Callithrix jacchus: one gene and its partner. The protein of the gene in region 1 purifies or fractionates together with the protein of each later gene. This does not show direct contact. Links are inferred from orthologs where the notes say so. Each region holds a gene or a part of one and is shown on either strand. Other genes may lie near its edges.

Region 1 (2,983 bases):
TTATCTTCTTAACTTGCAATCTGACTTACCTGCTTTTTTCAAAAAAACTTAAACAATATTATGTGTTCCTTAGATTTCAGTCAAATTTTCAGTAATGGCTGCTGTTATTACAACCTATAGTACTAGTGATTTCCCAACCTTGTCCTATCAATCCAAATTCACTGAATTAAAGTATTAAATACTATGGAAGGAAGCATTAAGAGTTTTGACTATCATATTTCATCAGTTATAAGACAAATATTTTCATATAACATGTCTGAATCTGGGATGTAGCTTACAACTGATGACATCTTAGTACTGTATTGTGGCTTAATTGGCAACATTTTTTCTTCTAAGGGATACATAAAAGACTGGTATGTCTCACATGCAATGATGTCTTAGGATAATATTAGAAGTTCTAGTTCAAATTTTCAATTTCAAAGCAACAATTTCCCTGTCCTCCCAGCCGCTCTCCCAACATGTCACTGAAATGTTTGATTAGAAAAACTATCCAAACACAGTTCAATTTTATATAAAATATTTAATTTTTGAAACACAGGCTATTCATGTCACATAAATATCTTCAATTGTAGGTTAGCTGCTTATGGTAAGCAGAATTATCAAGTGTGACTATTAAGAATAACTTAGATACTGTCACTTATAGGAAAGCCTAAAGCTCTAAGACTCACCATATTAAAATTTCAGATACTTGAATACTGTTGCTATTTTGCTAATTTCAAAATATTTCTTCACTTCCTGCAATGTAGTTTATAAGTTGTTAGTAATCAATATTCAAATAAAAGCAAAATATTTTTTTCTTCCATTCATTTCTTTCTCCCCAGTGACAAAAAAGAGTCCATCAAAAAATAAAATGGTCAACTGATAGCAACTTATTTTATAGTAGTAAAATGGTAAATTATCTCTTTAAAATAGTCTTACTGTCATCAAACTACAATGCTTCCCACATTGTTTTGAAATGAAGGTTCATAAGTTAGAGGGCACAGGGTTAACTGGCTTTAGAACTGGAGCAATACATATTCTGTAACAGTTGTCCCAATTTAAGATTCCAATAAAAAAAATAAGTTGCCAGAACAGTTAATGAACAAAATGATTAATTGGCACAACTCTAACTTCCAGTCAATTTTTCCATTTAGTAATAATGGAAACACTGGTTATTTACCTTTGGTTCCTTTCTAGAATTATTATAATTGTGTGTGTATGTGTGAGAATGAGTGTGCACGCAGTGAGACTTCACACCATTAGTTTAAATAAGTTTACTCCATTCTTTGATGCTCTTTATAAAAAAAGAAAAAGTTAAAATGAACTAAAGTTGTTGCTCTGAGTGGCAGAAGTCATGATCAACTTTATGGAAGGTGACAGGAAGGAATATCAAAGTTTTCATTGCCTTTTCTTTTTGCTTCAATAAATTCCATGTAGGCAACGTTTCTAGTTAACAAGTGAATAGAACTGACTTTCTTAAAATGGCAATTACGTAACTTAAAATATGGTATTTGCCACCCCTCCCCCATGAACTTTAACACATTTATGTAAGTTCTGTTATGAACTCTTGCTTCTATACTATGGCCTCCAATTATCCATGGCAAATGGAAACAGGGACTATATGCCAGCCTGAAAGAAAATGGCACTCTAAAATTCTCGTTCAGCTATTACTTTCAACCATTTAAATGACAAAACTTTTTAGAACTTCTCAGAAGTAACAAAAAGTACTGATTGCAGTTCTTCTCCCTTTCTTTGCTCTCACTCCCCTATCAAGAGAAGGTGGTAGTGAAAGGGAACACAGCCCAAAGACAGGCAGAAAAGGAGAGTGTGACAGGCAGAGGGAATGGACCTAACAGGAACTGAACAGGCAGCCCCTGAAAACTTGAGAGCTTCCTGCCTTTTCAATGCATTGATTCCTTTGAAAAGACAAATGGGGATAAAAAGTTAACTCTTTTTTTCAGACCTTACCTGTTAAGGCACTTACTTTCCCTCCCCACCCCACCCATAGTTTTCATATAAAACTCACTATTTCATTTGAATGCACTTTGCTAGGCTATGATAATCTGCAAAACAAAACAAAAATAACATTTACCATTTTTTTTATAAAACTGTTGCATCAAGAGAAAGGTTGTGTTTTATTTTCTGAAATGAGCACAAAGTACACCTTTCACAATAACACTGAAAGCAGGTGCAAAGACTGACAGTGACCTTTGACTAAAGGTAGCTTTGTAAAAAGAAAAATACCAAATAAATCAGTGCCCTTTCTGATTGTTGTAAAACTGGAGGTGGGGAGGGGCTGTTTGTTACATAAAAGTTGGTCCAAACTTACAAAAAAAGCACAAATGTGCATAGATCAGAAGATCTGCAAGAGGGCCATAAAAGGCTATGTCCCTAAAATTAGCATCCACTTAAAACTGCAAGAATACAAAATAAAACTGTTAACTAGAATTTGTGAAGATGTACAATTGATAGATCTAGTTTTCAGAACAGCATGAATTTAAGCAAAGGTTTTTTTTTTCTGTCTTTTTTAAACTATTGTATGCAAGACCCTTCTCCACATAAAAATAAAGCTGTTGTTGAATTAATATTATTCAAGTCTCTTGGATTGCTGCCTTAAATTGCAGCTAGAAAAGTCTTTCCAGATAAAAATGATGTGCCTGAGGAAAAACAGATACTCAGTATGGTAACCCTCTGCCTCTACCTCTGCCAGTTGATGTGCTAATATGTCCCCTGTATCCTTGTGAATATCCAGGTCCTTGGGCAGGAGAAGTCCAGGTCTGTCCATGCATGAGGCTGGGACCACTTGGGTTTTCCTGTAAGTTACCACCATAGTTATAGTTATGCATCTTTGCTGGCAAAGGGTGAGTACTCTCTGGCCCCGTGGAAGGGTCACTGCTGTTTGCCAGGACTGCAATAGGACCATGGCTATATTCAAATCTATGGTCCTTGTCTCCACTAAACAACATGGGACCAGCATTGAGGTAAATGTCTCCATATCCAGCTA
Region 2 (4,297 bases), on another chromosome or scaffold:
ATTAACTTGAGAAGCATGCTTCTTACATATTTAAAGTTGGTAGTAGAAAAGTGCTAACCAGGGTCAGGGCAAGACCAGAATCCTGTAGTATATCTCCAAAGACATCTCCCCGGACTTACATCAACCCATTAATCAACATTTTGGGTCTGGTAATTTGAATGGATATAATAAATCCATTTACATCTAATCCAATGCACATTTAGCTCTGTCTAGACACAGAATTATGTTCAGTGTCCTAAATAAACTTAAATGAACTTATGTCCAGCAATCCCCAATCACCACCAGTCTAGTAAACCGTAACAAAAGGAAACAGAATTGTGTCACCTGGCTTTTTTTTTTTTTTTTTTTTTGAGACAGGGTCTTGCTCTGTCACCCAGGCTGGAGGGCAGTGACACGATCACAGCTCAGTGCAGCTTTGATCTCTCACAGACTCAAGTGATTCCTGCCTCGGTCTCCTGAGTAGCTACTACAGGCATGCATCACCACATCTGGCTAATTTTTTGTTTTTTTTGGTAGTGATGAGGGCTCACTATGTTGCCCGGCATCATCTTGAACTCCTGAGCTTGAGTGATCCTCCAGCTCTGGCCTCCCAGAGTGCTGGTATAATAAGCATGAGCCACTAACTCTGGCCTCACCTGTCCTTTTCTTATTGAAACTTTCTGCTGGCTTGAGGGAATCAGCTTTCCTTTCCCAAGTTCTTATACACGTGTTGGCTCTTCCAACAAGATTCTAGAACAGATTATTAATAGGTTCCTAGCATCCAAGAGACATCTAATGGCTCTTGGTGAAAACTGAGACATTTATCAGACACTAGTCTTTTAACATTAACTGCATTTTTAGGATTTTTCAAAGTCTATCAATAATGATTTTACAATGTCATCTGCAATTACTCTGGTAAACAATTTGAGCTTAAAAATATGATCACTCTGTAATCTCAATTACCTTGAATTTAATTCCCTTAGATATTTTTTGTTCTTACCCAGTTTTAAACAAAATAAGCAGAAGACACTGTCCTCCCTTTTAGGCACTCAGCAGTCATTGCTTTAAAATATAATCTCCTGAAATGAACTAGCTCATTTAATAGGCCACAGACATGACCAATTTTTCTTTATGACATGCAATTTTAAAAACAGCATTTAAAATTTAAGAACCTCATTAACAACTCGAATAGTTTTTGTTCCTTGTTAGTACAAACTACAGTTTCAAAATGGAACAAATTTAAACAGAATTTGCCCAGAAATCAACTAATAAGCATGAATAATGCATGCATCACAATATAATCGAAATGAGATAAAAGGGGGAAAAAACCCTCAAAGACACCAGTGGTAGTCACTCTGAATAAAACGATCTTGGATAATTACTACATTCACCGTCAAGATTATTTAACAGGTAAGCATCCTAACGACACAACTTTAATCCAAATGTCTGTCAGTACTACTATCACTACTCTCATCCATCGGTTCTTTCACTGAGCAATACTGAGGGCTTAATAAACGTCAGGCAGTGTTCTGGGCGCTGAAAGCTCCTCGCTTTCATTCTAGCAACATCATTCATACAAGCCTTTAATGGGCACCTAAAATTGCAAGGCACTGTGCTAGCCATCTGAAAAGAGAGATTTAGATAGAGATACACAAACGTCACCAATTTTCCTTTAAAAATATAAAAGACTACCCTTAAGAAATGCTCTTATCCAGTCGTTCCTGGCCGAGCGCCGTGACTCACGCCTGTGATCCCAGCACTTTGGGAAGCCGAGGCAGGAGGATCAATTGAGGCCAGGAGTTCGAGACCAGCTTGGCCAATATGGTGACATCCCGTCTCTACTAAAAATAGAAAAAGTAGCCTGGCCGCGTGGTGGCGCACGCCTGAAATCCCAGCTACTCGGGAGGCTGAGGCTGGAGAATCGCTTGAACCCAAGAGGCAGATGTTTTAGTGAGCCAAGATCGCGCCACTGCACTCCAGCCTGGGCAACAGACAGACTCTGTCTCAAAAAAAAAAAAAGAAAAAGTCGTTCCTAACCTAAGATGACTTAGCGAAAGCTCCGTTTAACTGGCAATCTAAATTTAGGGAGCATTACCGAGACTATCTTTGGCAGACAATAGTTTGGGAGCTGTCAGATAACCTCTAGACTTACGGTCCAATTTTCTAAATAACAATTTCTCTCATAAAAAAACAAATTAACCACCAGAACCGGGTCCGTAAAGACGATGTCTCCACAAGAACGAAATCTAATCGCGGAAGTGCCTTTTCCTCATTCCTAGTCGCACCCTCGTTACGTGGCTCTTCAGACTCCAAAGTCCGAGTACCCTAGATATGGAACAATCTCCAAAAAGTCTCAGGCCTACCCAAGGTTGGGACTAATACGCCGCGAAATAACCGGGGAAATATGAGTACTCAGTAGCTATGAGATTGTGCGCGGGTGACACCCCTGTCCCTTTTGCCCAAGCCCTAGAAAGTCCAACTCTGACTGACCCCTACTGCGAGGGCCGCTACCAGTTCTAGGGTGCGCCCTGCTTCCCTGCCCCACCCCGGCGCCTCGGACCCTCTCTCCAAGCCGGTCCCGCAGCCCCGCGCCGCCCGCTAAGTTCAATGTGTACGAGAGGTTAGCGGAGAGAGGCGGAATCCGAAAAGAGAGACTCCGCCAGTGGATGGCGGCGGTTGGCCATAACCTACTCCGACCTCTGGATACGCGGGAGGTGGGCGGTGCTGCCCGCAGTCGGTGGGTCACTCACCCCTCTTTTCAGGCAAGCCCCTTAGCGACGTCTCTCCTTGCCGACCGCGGCCATTTTGCATGTGGAATGTCGGGGAATACGTCATCACGCTGCGTCTTGAGACAAAAACCAAGCGACCGGAGAGGCGGAGAGAGTAGGATGCCTGTCAACCAATGGGAAGAAAACAGAGCTCTCGAAAGCGGAACGGGCCGCCTTATTCTTTCTCGCCCGCCCCGCGGGTCAGTGGCGGCTGCGTGCAGGGGGAGGAGCCAGCCACAGGGCCCATCCCGTCGGTTCCGCCCCCCGGGGCGAAAAAGATTCTGGAGCAACCGAACCTGCTAACGGAACTCGGGAGCGTAGGCGGGGTCCGGGTCGCGCTTCGTCCAATCAGAGCTGGGGCGGGGGCGAACACAGCCAATTGCGACCTCGGGGTTGGCGGCGGCTGAGCCGTCCGCTCTCGCCCCCGGGAGCCGTCAGCCCACTGGCTGGAGAGGACCCCGAACGGAACGCCGGCTTGGCGGCGGGGCGGGGCCGCGCCCATGCGTCCGAGGCGCGGACCAATGAGCGGCTGCGGCGGCGGCCTGGGGGCGGGGTCTAGGGCGGGCGGAGCGGGGTTGGGCCGCGGCGGCAGGGCCGTCTCAGGCTGCCGTCCCGCCCCTCCTGTCCGGCCGCCGCCGTCGCCGCCGCCACCGCAGCCACTGCCACCGCCTGGGGGTTGGTTGAGGCGGACGGTGGTGTCCGGGCTGGAGTGCGTCGTTCCCGCTGCGCTAGGGGAAGCGGGCAGGTGAGTGCTGGCGGCGGTCTCTGCGCGCATGTGGCCCGGAGGCTGCGAGAGAAACTCGCGCTGCCTCTCCGAGCGTTACGAGGCCGCCCCCCGCCCTGGCTGGCGCCCCTCTGCCGAAGTCCGGCGCGCGCCCCCGCCCGGGTCCCTGCCGGCCGCTCCGGGCCCGGGGCTTGAAGGGGCGGGTGTGAGCCCCGGAGCTGGGGTAGGCAGGGCCCTGCGGGGTCGGAGGGCGCCGGTCGGCCTCTGCCCTGGCGCCCTGCGGGGCGGGAGGCGCGCGCTCGCTGCTGCCGGTCCCTTCTGGCGCCCACGCTCCCGGGCTCCGCGCCACCAGGTCCGGAGGTGGTGGCAGGTGCAGGGAGCGCTCTCCCTGCGCTTGCCCCACTGTCTCCGGCCCTCGCGCCCTCTCTCGGGTGGGGCCCGGGCCCCTGGCGCTGGTCTGCTCGGCTCTGCGTGCGGCCGGGTCGCGCTCTCATTTCCTTCCTTCCGTCACCCCGCTGCCCGGGGAAGGCTGTGCGGTTTTATGTTCCTTTCTGCGAGTCCTCGATGCCCACCGGGGTGCCCGAGGACCAGCCCCCGCCTCCCTTCCGCTCCGTCCAGTTAGAAAGACGGTCGTAGGAAATAGGTCGTCTTTCTTCCCACGCGACGCTGGCCGTGTTCCACACGCGCAGTGCCCTACTAGGGAGAGGCATTCCGTGCTTAGAGTTTGTCATTCCGCAGTTAAACTCTTCCTCCTCGTGGCTCCAGCCCGGCGATGCAACTCTGCCTTTCCCCTGTCTCCACTCGGGGAAAGGAGCTGACAGTGACG

What was found. Proteins that work in one complex are often made in the same cells at the same time.
Region 2: the proteins of CDK13 (region 1) and CCNK purify together in Homo sapiens (affinity purification with mass spectrometry; 4 studies listed by BioGRID and IntAct, counting the BioPlex papers as one, with this or other methods). This does not show direct contact. The link is inferred for Callithrix jacchus from reciprocal best matches to the Homo sapiens genes CDK13 and CCNK.

What each region holds. Positions count from the first base shown.
Region 1 is NC_133512.1:8,406,940-8,409,922, reverse strand, and holds the end of CDK13 (cyclin-dependent kinase 13), read right to left. Parts: coding exon 2,655-2,983; 3' UTR 501-2,654; downstream 1-500. UniProt on the Homo sapiens protein: Cyclin-dependent kinase which displays CTD kinase activity and is required for RNA splicing.
Region 2 is NC_133509.1:134,366,497-134,370,793, reverse strand, and holds the start of CCNK (cyclin-K), read right to left. Parts: upstream 2,801-4,297; 5' UTR 2,730-2,800; intron 1-2,729. Other genes in the region: SETD3 (actin-histidine N-methyltransferase), read left to right, coding at 2,868-2,947. UniProt on the Homo sapiens protein: Regulatory subunit of cyclin-dependent kinases that mediates activation of target kinases.